Linked DNA regions of Drosophila melanogaster. The protein of the gene in region 1 interacts with the protein of each later gene in a pairwise test. Each region holds a gene or a part of one and is shown in the gene's direction. Other genes may lie near its edges.

Region 1 (6,211 bases):
TGCCAATGCTTGTGCTAAGGCTCCATATACCATCACAAAACATTTTCAGATGTTAGAACAAAGGCAATCTCGATTGTCGCCTCATCCACTGACTTTTGCTGTGCGGCGGCCTTGGGCTTCGTCTTTTTCGGCTAGTCTTTACCTGATCCTGCTTGGATTCATTGGGCTTGCTCCAGCGACCATTGGCGAGCAAATTTTAGACGGTAGTTTCATATGTGGAGTTTGGCATTTAATAATTCGATGACTAGATTTGCTAAATATTGTGTAGGATGGGTATGGTGTGTTTTCAGTGTAGGTGTAGGTGTTTGGATGTGTAGTACGCTGGTAGATTGTTCAGATATACAGACGCTAAAAGGCTAACCCGGGCGCAACGTAAACAGAAAAATAGGATTTCAAAGTGGGATCGGCGCCTAGTTTCCCGTCTAGACTAGAGCTAAGAAAGCTGATCTTCCGGCTGAAAGGCCGAAATACTTACATTGCGTGGACATGGTGCCCATTTGGTTGCGATAGCTGTCTCTGGCCTTCTTTAGATCCTCCTCCAGTTGCAGTTTGTCTGCATGGAGTCTTCGTACATGGGCATGAGTGCTCTGGATCATCGAATAGAAGACATTGGCGTTCCGCTTAGTGCAATCTCCCCGCTCCAGCCACGCGGTAATCGTTTGAATGGCCTTTACAAAAGTCTCGTTGGTGCGTAGGTGCTCCGCAACAGTAGTAGCCTCGTGATCCGTGTAGTGCGGTATTGGTGGCGGCGACTGCGATCGCATCCTGTCCATCGACATGCGCTCACGATGACGCTGTTCCCTCTGATGCTGTCTCTGTCGACACTCGTAATCATACTGATCATCCCGTGCCTGTGCGTAGTCCACATGCAGGCGTCCAAAGTTGGGAGGTTCATTTAGCGCTGATATACGCAATCTATAGCCGGATAGGTAGATGGCCCTATCTATGGCACCCTCTTGGCGGTAGCGAATATGGCAAAAGTTCTTCTTGGACATGCGCAATGTGGTGATCTCGCCGCATGATTCGAAGATCTCCCGGATCACTTCTTCGGTTATGTTTTCCGGCAGTCCACCCACAAACACCGTCCGGCATCCTGGTGGTCGCTCCCTTATTGTGGGAGGAGGTGCGTTCGGATTAGGTGGAAACAGGATGCAGTTCTTGGTCTTGATCACCTCCTTGAGGCCAGCTGGTGTAACGCCATCTAAAAGTATGTTTTTATTAGAATGTTTATTTAAGGTTCCAATTTGGTATTGCTTTCATTACCCGCATTAAGAGTTGCTTCTAGTCCAGCTCCGGTTTCTGTGGTCATTCCGGCTGCTGCTGCCGCTGCATAGTGCATCTGTTGCATTTGTTGCATCGCCGCCGCCATCATGGCCGTAGGATCCATGAGCATTTGCGCATTGGCGGTGCTGTTTGCTGAAGCTGCCGGCGTGGATCCCCCTGCAGCCGAGGATGGATTGCCGGGTGCAGTAGCACCACCCGCTTGGGTGGCCGGAAAATACAGATATCCAGGTGGTGTGTGCACCAAGCCATTCAGGTATAGTTGCGTCGAATCGGGCAGAGTGAGCGAGTTGGATGTGGCCTGCAACTTGGGTTCCTTGTGCATCGTCGAGGAGCTCACATCCGCAGAGTGTTCGTTCTCATTCTCCAGATCCATGGGCGCACTGCCCTGTGGTTGTTGTTGTTGTTTTGCCATCTTATTCTGGATCTGTTTGGGGGGCGAAGAGGGATTTCCCACGACAGATGTGCTCGAGGCCGCCGTGGAAATTGCAGCTGCCAATTGGTTGAGGAAATTCGGGTGATTTGGCAAACTGACGCCATTCGGCATGGTCCCAAAGAGCGGTACTGCAAAATGTACACAGTTTGTAATTTGCTTTAAAAGAGATAACAACCCAAACGAAGCCGGTAGCAAAACAAAATAACCAATCAGCTGAGCACCTCAATTTTCGATAGGTAAAAAAAGGAAATAAAAGCTGGGGGGTGGCAAGTGCCCAAAATGGCGTAAGTCCCACCTGCTGATAAAAGTCGAATTCACCGCAAATACTGTTGTTTCTTAATTTCCCAGACCTTTCTATTTATTCCATTTTCTTTGCTACACATTTTGTGGGCTTTTTAAAATCATTATCTTATCACTTACGCATATTAACGCCCCAGTAATTGTACGACAGGTATGTATAAAAAAAAACTAATTATATTTAGAGATGAGTGACTGCTCGTACTGGTCACCCTAAAAAGAGTATCGATATCCGATAATTTCGGCGCTGCCACACTTTTCACTATGAATCATCAGCTGTCGTCAGTTTTCTAGAAAAACAAAACGTAGTTGTATGAAATTTTTGCAAATTTTTGTGGACTCAAAACAGTTGGAAAATTAAAGAGACATGTCGGTTAATACGGCTCACGCCAACAATGGCGTGCTCATCCATGCTGGAGAGTAGTAAGTTAACGGAAAAGTCCTTTAATTAACACTGAAAATGCTGAACATCCCTGACGTCATAAATGTAAACACTGACGTGTGGCTGGCGATTTGAAAGGAAATTAGCCTATGTTCCAGCGATAAGATAGAAATATGGCACACAAATTAACTGCTTTTACACTTTCAGCATACTGCTCCACAGCGACAGTGTCTCCATGGAGTTCTCCGGTCAGGACAATCCCATCTTCAAGGGCTCCAAAGGTGGCAGGATTTATCTCACCTCCCACCGAATGATCTTCAATAGCAAGAAGTCCTCGGATTCGATGCAGTCGTTCAGTGCCCCGTTTGTTGCTCTTTCGGATGTGGAAATCGAACAGCCCGTTTTCGGGGCCAACTACATCAAGGGAAAGGTTCGCGCTCAGCCAAATGGAAACTACGTGGGCGAGGTCAAGTTCAAGCTCCATTTCAAGGCAGGCGGCGCAATTGAGTAAGTGCATTGTGCACCTAAATTAAAACTAATTAGACGGATCTCTTGATAAGTCTTAATACTGAATAGACTCAAGAGAATATATAATGTTCTGATTAACAAGTCCATTTCTTATAGATATGGTCAAGCTCTACTGCGCTCCGCCAAGACGGCGATGAACAACTACCACCGCGGTGGTCTGGCTGGTGATGATCCGCCACCATATCAGCCGGCTGGATCCTGGAATGAGGCACCACCGCCGGCATATCAGCCACCACCTGGCTACTATGGCTGGCTGCCGCAGCATGACGCATTCAGCGGCCCTGCGCCGAATACGGTCTATATGAGCGACAATCCGCCGCCGTATCCGGGTATCGGTAAGTTAAACGCACGTGCACTTTACCCAATCTATACTCGGCTTTTGTTTTGGCACGCTGGCTACGCGAATTGGCAACCTGGCTTACCCACGAAATTCACGCTACGCACTCGCTTCGTTTAACCCAATGGGGCACTCCTCTCTTTTTCGTCTTAGCACCACCTGCTCACCAACCAGCACCGCAACAGCCGCAGGCACCGTCGTCGAATGAACCCAATTGGTATGGTTTTTCAGCGCCGCCGCCGCAGCAGCAACAACAGCAGCCGGGCTATGGGCCACAAGGATGGGCCGGTGGCTATGTCCAACCTCCGCCGTACGCTTCATGTGCCCCAAATTGTCCACCACAGCCGCCGTACGCCGCTCCGGCTCAGACGTACAATGGTCCACAGCCATATGGTGGATACGGCAATGTTCCTGGCGGATTTAATACCCCCGGATTTCAGCAACCGAATGGAAATCCAAATGGCTATCCAGGTGGACCACCGCCACCCGGACAACAAGCAGCAGGAGCAGCTGGAGGAGCCGCCGCATCTGGAGCCAGCTTTATGGGCTTCAGCTTGCCCCCTGGAAGTGAGTAGAACTCATCATCCCATTCATCACTTTTTTAACATTTCCCTCCCACAATGCACATTTCTAAATTGGTTTTATTCTAGCAAAAGATAAAAAAATATGAGCAAAAGGACAAGAAAATTATGAACATCTTTAAAATAGTCGAAACATCTAAAGATCTAAAATGTTATCAAGAATTTAATTGAAGTATCATGAACCACCTTTTGCTTTCGGACGCTCAAAGTATTCAAGAGGCATCCAAAAACCATTCAGAAGCATTCGTTCTGTTTATTTTTCTCACTTACAAAATTATTCAATTTGTCCAAATAATAAATGATTTGTTAGCATAATTCATTTGACGGTGTAATATTCCTTTTTTGGTAGTGTTTATATTTGTTTTTTTCCCATTTTTGAGTTCCCTTATCAGGTTTCTCACCTAATATCCAAATAACGATTAACCTATTACTAATCAAAACAAAATTATTTCCCGAATCTAAAAAAAAGCATTTATCTTTTGACCTATTTTACAGTGTAATTAAAAGCAAACTACTGTACCTCAAATAGCCATCCCGACAAGTAAGATTTATTGTTTCAATGTTACCCAAAGCAAATTACTAACAAAAGCCGAGTCTTCAAGTAGTTAAGTCTATCCGATTTGATTTAGTGACATTTAATGGTTTCTTCTTTAACTTTTTCTTTATTACCCACAAAATGCGAACCAATAGTAGCCAGATTCGGCAGCACCCATCATTATTTCTATCCAATTCAAAGACCCATGTGTGTTGTGCTGGTTCCAGCTTTGATACCGTAAACATAAATTGTAAGAGGTGAATCGCAATGGTGTAAATTTTATGCTGTGTATATCGAGCTTGAGAACATTTATTACCAAAATGGATTGTTTTCTATTTTAACAGATTCCAAAGAAGCCGAAGCTGCAGCAAGTGCTTACAACACACCCTACAACCAAGGCGGGCCCAGTGGATCAGGCAACAATGATTTACCACCTTCTTATAATGTAAGCGATGTGGAACATTGTATTGAAAAAATGTCTAACTTCTTTTTTGTGTCTTATCTAATAGAACTTGCCACCCAGTTATGATGATGCATCGAAAAAAAATCACTAAAAGAAGCTGCATACTATATTCCCTTACGAAGAAATGCTAAATAACTAAGTAATTACTGCTCATTCCGTTGATGAAACTCTACACGAAATTATTGTTGTTTTCGGGCATTACAAATGTGCTTGGTTGGAATATTTGCTTGGAATTGTTGCTAATTAAATTCTTTCATAAGCAGCATATTCTTCATATGCTTTGATTTCTGGTCACAAAATTAGAATTTTGCTCTTTCGGCTTGATAAATTGTATTATTTTATATATGAACATAACATTAACCAACTTGTTGTTATATGAGAAAAACAGTACTATTTTATCCGTTATAATATATAAACAATTTATTATATAAAAGTAATCCAATTTCAGTATCTGGCTTTAATGGGGTTCATCGGAGAATTGATCAGGGATCAGACAATTCTTTTCAAATCAATGATTTTTTCGTAACCTCGTTGGGTATAGAAGTATCCACGTCTTTTGGTTTGCTCTGCTATGTATATTCAATAATATACGTAAACACTTTAAATCTTATTTTAAAATTTAAATTAAATCAACTGTATTTTTAAAAATACGAATTGCTGTATTTTTTAAGAAGGATGAATTTTCGGAAAAATTCAAGATTCTTGTAATGTAAAAATATATTTCGCTATAAATTTTCCACTTTGGATTTAAGGCCACCTCGAATGCGGTCATGCTAACAAAAATGAAGAAGATGTTCATTCAAAAGTAGACTTCAATTCCAGTTAGCCGACTACTAGACAACAACAGGCTGATTTGGTCAGTTGTAGAAAATCAATCATACGCCACATGCGCAGTGGCGGGCGTGGTGAGAAATCGGTGCCAGGACTTTGACAGGCAAGGAATGGCAAGCAGATGTCTCTTGAAAAGCGGTTGAAATATATCTTGTAAATAGTGAATGTGCTATTGAATTCAGTTCAATTAAAGGGCGTAACCGCCAAATCAGATGATAGTTGGTGTTAAAAAAATGCCAAGTGGCTAATTGCTCAGCCACTTGTGTCTGTTTTTTGTTTTTTGTTTATCGATTTGTGTATAACGACGAACTTGCACCCTATATGTACATATGTATGTAAGTACGGCAGGCAAAACAACAGAGCAGAACTCACGCCCACTAAGTTGGCCAAAGTGGAAAATAATGCCAAGGTCCAAGAACCACAGGGAGTAATTAAATAGGATTTGCCAGCGGAAATCGTCGCATAAAATAAGAGTACAACATCATGGATGTTGGTGGCCAGGAAACCACCTATGAGCCGCTGGACGGACGTGGTTCCGGG
Region 2 (6,825 bases), 3.4 Mb from region 1:
AGTACTCTTCCGCATGATCCATCATGCTCATAGCGAATAAATGACGCTTTTCAATATTGGCATCTGATAGCAAAGGGTTTTTCCTTGCAACTCTTGAAGAGTACCTATGGCGTAGGATGACTTGGCGCACAGTTTCGTGTGACACAGTTAGGTGACATTCTTGCCTGATATCCAGAGCAAGTGATCTGACCGAGATTCGGGGGTTCGCAATCACTATTCGCATAATAAAGCGGTCTACACGCTTTTTAATTTTAATTTTCCGCCCACCACCACTCTTAGGTTCAAGCCTGCCCTCTTTTTCCGAGCCTTTTAAAACATTGTAGACGGTCTTACGGGATACAGGAAACATTTATACTAATTCTGGAAAAGATTTTCCCAACTGGTGGTTATAGTTTATTAATTGGGTAACTTCAAAAGTTAATCTCTTTCCAGGCATTTTATTAAATTTAATAATTCGCTTTAAGCACGTTTGATCAGCAAAATTTCACAAGCAAAGTCAACAAATTTCAATAGAAGCGTTGTAAAAAGCAATGTAAAGCCAAAAATAACGGAAAAATCGAGTTCGTTCTAAGAAAAAGAACAAAACAAAGTAGGAAAACAAAATGTGTAAAGAGTTTCTTGACAGTCTCAAAAGTGTGTAAACTTGGAATTTGTTGTTTATTTTCTTGTATATTTAATATTTTTAATTTGTTTTTTGATTTATAAGTAAAATAAATATTGTTTAATTATATTTTATAAAAAAATTGCGTTTAATTAAGCAAAAAACCCTTTATTTTTAGCTTTAAAGTCAAAAATTCAACTTATTTCACAGTGTGTAAACAGTTTCTTGACAAACTGTATGTGTCGCAAAGAATTCCGGGGAAAAACACGTTTCTTCTCAGTTTATACCCTACGTGCGAGGCATATGATTTGTCCTATCAGCCTGTTGGAACCGCTAACTCATATATTCCTTAATCTAACCAAAAACAAATTTTGCGTCGTATTTGTGAATAATGCACCGATTGATTTGATTGATTGCTTTAAGAGCGGCAGAGAGCAAAGATTACAGATAATAGGATAATGACTATTATAGTCAGAACACAATATTCTGTAAGAATCATGCAACTTATAGTTAGATCTAAATGGGCTTAAGATTATGGGTCTTGGAACAGAGAAGTTTAGCCGACTAACCAAGTCGGGACTATCAAAATATAAGTCTCAAAGCCTCACTCACTAATATACCCTACGTTCTCTTCTTTCAGAGGACGAATCCTATGAACTGTCCTCGGAAATCTGGGCCGTCGACATGGAGATCACTGACAGCGAGACCGACGACGTGCCCGTCAGCAGGAGCGTTAGCGTCAGCGCGAACGTCAGCGGGAACGTCAGCGGGAACGTCAGCGGGAAAGTCAGCGGGAACGCTAGAGGAGCCTTCAGCGGGACCCTCAGCCAGACCGTCAGCGCTACCGTCAGCGGGACCGTCAGCGCGACCGTCATTGGATTGGTCATCAACGAGTTCGTTCCAATGCCATTCAGTGGGACTCTCAGCGGGATCCTCAGCGGAACCCTCAGCGGGACCGTCGAAGGGACCATCAGCCGGACCGTCGACGGGGCCGTCAGCACGACCGGCAGCGGAACCATCGAAGGGACCGTCAGCGGAACCGTCAAGGGGACCGTCCGTGGGGCTATCAACGGGACCATCAGCGGAACCATCAGTGGGACCGCCAGCGGTACCGTCAGAAGGACCGCTGACGGAAAGCTCATTTTTGAGACAGGTGCAAGGTTGAACAATCGAAAATTCATTATCCACGAAATCTGTGGAATGAATTGTGAAATAACTCTTTGAAATTACAAAGTTTTTGAGATACATAACACGCTCTGTGAACAACCATGACTATGAGGTACCCGTTACTCAGCTAGTCGGATTGCGAATAAAATGAGAAAAAATTAAAATTGTTTAAAGATGTGGGTGTGATTACAATCCAAAAGGTGCAAGGTGCAAGGTGAACAATAAAACTAAGAACAATCTAATGTGGGCGTTGGAGTGGTCATGGAAACATGGGTCAACAATCTTGGGCTGCGTCTATGTCTCTGGAATCTGCACGCTTAATCTAAACATTCTAGCTTAAATAGTTCCTGAGATCTCGACGTTCAAACGTACAGACAGGCGGACATCGCCAGATCGACTCGGCTACTGATCCTGATCAAGAATATATATACTTTATATGGTCTGCCTGTTACATACTTTTCAACGAATCTAATAAACCCTTTTACTCTACGAGTAACGGGTATAACTATGTCATTATCTCAAAAACTGTGGATAATTCTTTTAAATAAAATGAAATAAAATGCTGCAGCCCTGGAAAAAAACCTATTCCTATTTACCCACTTATTGTAATGCATTTCTTTGTGGGTATTTTTCGCTGAGGCCAGCCATGGTCACTCTGCTGTAGACAAGTGCATAAACATTTCATCCAGGTGAACAAAAAGTAAATAAAGAACAATTTTAACCGCACTGCAACCCAACGGCGAGCATTAATAAGAAACTTCTCCACGATGGCTTCATTTTTCAACGTTGGCGCCTTGGGAAATGTTTTCTCCACTCCAGTTGGCCAGCGCATAGGTGAGTAAACCACCCTCCCCCCTCCAGCGTAAAAAAAACACCCACCGGAAGCGGGGGTGTGTGTATATGTGGTTAAAGCGTAATATTTTCCACAAATACAACGCATATGCGTTGATATTTACGCATTTACATTGATAGTTATCTGATTAGAGGACGCTTCAAGGCAGTCCCAATCAGACTGGGCCATTGGAAAATTGAATTTTCACAACTTTCTTCGTGCGTTTGCTTGTTTTCTTGTTTTGTTGTTGGTCTCTCACACACACGCGCACATTTCCATGTAGCGATACTCATTTGTTGTTGCCAGACCATTACTATGGCAAAGCGGTCTGATTTGATTTGAAAGGCGGTGGCAACAACGGTGGGCCTCTGATAAGATTAACCCTTATATGAGTATGCGGTTCCAACAGGCAGGTGTGACAAATCAGATAAATGTTTGTTGGTATGCTTTATGAAATTGCTCACCTTTTGGCACGCACACAAAGAGTATTGTTATTGATGCGCTCTTTTATTGTTTGATTGCCTGTTTTCCCTTCACCCCCTCCTGGCGGCCACCTGTTTTGCGCCCTTAGTAATCGCAATTAGTCATCGTTGCCGCTGGCCGCTGGGTTACATAAAAAAATGTGTTAATTTATTTCGTGTTCCCCTTTGGCTCGCATTTTCGCCATAATTTCCATTTGCCGCTGCACACACAACAAACACAGATACACACATTTACGTGCAATCGTGCATATGTATTAGTGCCGTACTAATTTGTTGCTTCGCTTTTTTTATGAGCTCACATTTTGTTATTGTATTGCGGTTGGTTAGCTTTTCCCATATCTCCTATATCTGTTGGATATCAGTGTTACGATATCTGATATCTGAGAAATACACTTTGCGCAATGGTTTCGTTTTGGATTTAAACAAATTGCTTTGTGCATTTTTAATTCGAGCAAGTCATTGCACTTGGTAGATCCTAAATTATAAACGAAAGATAATGCTCGCCCACCTGTTAAAAAACACAGTTTCAGCCGCCCATAAAAACAAACAAAGGAATGCAAATTGTTTACTTGGGTTTTCACACAGAAAACGAAAAAAATAATTACATCTTTCGGATCAAAAACCGCACAATTTACTTGGAATTATAATTAAATATATTATTATAATTAAAATGTAACGAGCGTTTTCAGAAATAAGATACAAATTTAAAAAAAAAAAATAGGGATACCTTTTTTGTTTTTGTATTTATATTACATGAAATATTGTTGCAGTTTTTTTTTCTGGAAGAACGATAGATTTAAAAAGATCTTAAGGTGTCAACTAATACTTACCTTCTCACCTTTCAGAGGCCGCCACCGATGCCAACCTGGCCTCGGAGAACTGGGCCGCCAACATGGAGATCTGCGACATGATCAACGAATCCTCCGACACTGCACGCGATGCTATGCGTGCCATTCGCAAACGCCTCTCCCAGAACGCCGGCAAAAACAACCAGGTGGTGATGTACACGCTGACCGTCCTGGAGACATGCGTGAAGAACTGCGGCAAGGCCTTCCATGTCCTGGTGGCCCAGAAGGACTTCATCAACGAGCTGGTCAAGCTGATTGGGCCCAAGAACGATCCACCAGCCGCCATGCAGGAGAAGGTTCTCAGTCTGATACAAATCTGGGCGGATGCGTTTAAGAACCAACCGGATCTCAACGGCGTCACCCAGATGTACATGGAATTGAAAAACAAGGGCATCGAGTTTCCAGCCAACGATCTGGATGCCATGGCACCCATTTACACGCCACAGAGGGTGAGTCGCTGAGGAATCCTCTTTACTTTAACCATAATAAATGCTTTCATATGCCTTTTAGAGTGTTCCCGAGATGCCCCCTCAGCTGGTGGCCGCTCAGCAGCACACAATCTCGCCTCAACACATGGCTGCCGCTGCTGCCGCCGCAGCTGCAGCCGCAGCTCCACCCAGCACAGGTCCTTTGCATTTGACTCCCGAGCAAGCGGCTAAGCTGCGCTCCGAACTGGAGATCGTTAGCAACAATATGTCCATCCTCAGCGAGATGCTCAGTGTTCTGAAGCCCGGCCAGGAGTCGCCCGATGACTATGCCCTGCTCAATGAGCTCACCTCGACCTGCAAGGAGATGCAGTCTCGCATCGTGGATCTGATTGGACGTGTCCAGGACGACGAGCTCACCGCGGAGTTCCTGCGCATCAATGACGAGCTGAACAATGTGTTCTTGCGCCACCAGCGTTACGAGAAAAATCGTTCGCAGGGCCAGGGTGCTGGTGTTACCTCGCCCTCGGCTGTGCTGGGCGCAGCCATGGGCCTGCCCGGTGTGGGAGCAGCTGGAGCAGGAGCCACCACGGTGGCTACGCTACCACCTCCGCCCACAACTACCGCCGTGAGCAATACGCCGCAAAGTGACCAACTGCTGATCGATCTAATCGAAAGCAGCGAGGAAGCCCAACTGCCACAGAGTTTGGGACAGATCAGCCTGGGTGGTGGAGCACCCATTGGGGTGCAGAGGAGCGCACGACCTGCCGATGAATTCGATATGCTGGCACAGTCGCGCACCGATGGCAACCAGTCAGTAAAGAGTGCTTTCCAATCGAGCTCATCAAGTATTAACAATAATTCTTTTTTTAGTAAATCGGACTTGCTGCGGGACATTCCCTCGGTGGACGCTGCTGCTGGGAGTGTGACTGCCACCGCCTCGCCTTACAAACCAAATCAACCGCAGCAGGCACAGCGCTCAGCCGGCGAACCGCCGGTGGTAAGTAAAGTGAGTAACTAGCCGCCGGACAGCCGGTCTAACTAATGGCGTTCGATTTGTTCCCTTACCTTTTGACCTCGTTTTCGCCATTGATTTACACTATGTGTCTAAATTTGAAAATATGTTTTGGTTCTTTTTTGTTCTATGCAAATTGCGTTTGGTTTTCGTTTCGTTTTGTTGTTCGGTTGGCGCCCACACACAGTCGACGAAAGAGAATGAGATCGACGAGATGGAGGCGTGGTTGGGCAGCTCAGTAAGTAGCCATTCGAATAGCATTTTGTCTTTTTCTAAGCTCATCTTACCATGCACTCGGCTTCAGTTTCTCGATTTACATACTATTCCTTTGCTTCTTAGCTTCTGTCATCCATTTTCGAGTACTTAATATGACTAATGAGTCATTTGTTTCCACCACACAGCACATCGAGGGAATTGAGGAGCTGACCAGCTCGGAGTTTGACAAATTCCTAGAGGAGAGAGCCGCTGCCGCCGAGAATCTTCCAACGATCAGTGCATCGAACTCCGCCGCCAGTGCCACGACAGGATCGGCAGGAGCCGATAGCTTACGAAAGACACCAAAGAAACCGGGCGCCGAAGAGGATCTGCTCGCGCTCTGAGTGATCTCCGCCAGCACCATCATCGGCTCTAATTGTTTACTCTTTCAAATGTTATACACACCCTAACATACTTATCCGTAACGTCTATTTGATAGCAGATACATAGTAACACTTTATGTAAAATGCTTTTATTTTTTACAAAAACAGCAACGATAACTATTGATTATATTCCAAAAAAACAAGCGATCTTTTGTTGGTCTAATTGTAAGCCACGTCTACACATTGATGGTAATTTAATGTATTACGTTACAAGTCTATTTGTTGTTTATTTATACATACATTATAAAGCTAATTTATTTTACAAAATCGAAAAGAAAAACTAAAACAAAATGGAAATACATTTCAAGCACATACCGATTTCGTCTTTGTTTAAATATTTATATTACTAAGGGGCTTAATCTGAGTCGTTATCTATATTCATGACTTGAGTAGCTGCTCCGTAGGCATCGTCCTCGTCATCAGAAAAAATCCTTTGATTATTCTTTGCTCTTGATACTTTCCCGGATCGTTTTTCCAACTGACTCTCTAAATCCCGGATGTGGGCCTTTTTGCTGTTCAAAAGCAGCAGGAATTTCTTGAGAAGTTCCTCCTCCTTCAGCTTGCTGTCCCTCACATACTTTTCATATTCAGCCAGGGATGCGGTTGTCTGGGCGTCGGATTCGGTGGCTGGAGCTGCTTGTGGCTTCTGCTGACCAGCTTCGATGGCTGCATCCAGCATCTGGTAGCAGTTGGAGACTTTTCTAAGCGGAACATCCAAGTACAGCGTTTCGTATCCTTCGCATTTGTACACTTTGAACGCTGGTTTTTCGACATCTTCCATGGATATTTCATAATCAAATCCTTGGAGTCCCATGTG

The links. Proteins that work in one complex are often made in the same cells at the same time.
Region 2: the proteins of Wbp2 (region 1) and CG3529 interact in a two-hybrid assay, tested with the Drosophila melanogaster proteins (one large-scale study listed by BioGRID).

The regions. Positions count from the first base shown.
Region 1 is NT_037436.4:12,847,895-12,854,105, forward strand, and holds Wbp2 (WW domain binding protein 2), read left to right. Parts: upstream 1-2,270; 5' UTR 2,271-2,381; coding exon 2,382-2,437; intron 2,438-2,603; coding exon 2,604-2,903; intron 2,904-3,020; coding exon 3,021-3,259; intron 3,260-3,414; coding exon 3,415-3,828; intron 3,829-3,911; coding exon of another isoform or gene 3,912-3,931; exon of another isoform or gene 3,932-4,160; intron 4,161-4,337; coding exon of another isoform or gene 4,338-4,342; exon of another isoform or gene 4,343-4,383; intron 4,384-4,532; coding exon of another isoform or gene 4,533-4,618; exon of another isoform or gene 4,619-4,634; intron 4,635-4,721; coding exon 4,722-4,822; intron 4,823-4,886; coding exon 4,887-4,931; 3' UTR 4,932-5,275; downstream 5,276-6,211. Other genes in the region: CG10948 (uncharacterized protein), read right to left, coding at 476-1,201, 1,264-1,845, 2,138-2,141; Ent3 (equilibrative nucleoside transporter 3), read left to right, coding at 6,155-6,211.
Region 2 is NT_037436.4:9,444,461-9,451,285, forward strand, and holds CG3529 (uncharacterized protein), read left to right. Parts: upstream 1-2,403; 5' UTR 2,404-2,535; coding exon 2,536-2,602; intron 2,603-3,927; coding exon 3,928-4,379; intron 4,380-4,440; coding exon 4,441-5,168; intron 5,169-5,228; coding exon 5,229-5,364; intron 5,365-5,557; coding exon 5,558-5,608; intron 5,609-5,771; coding exon 5,772-5,969; 3' UTR 5,970-6,325; downstream 6,326-6,825. Other genes in the region: Srg3 (Sting-regulated gene 3), read left to right, coding at 1,242-1,825; CG3448 (uncharacterized protein), read right to left, coding at 6,364-6,825.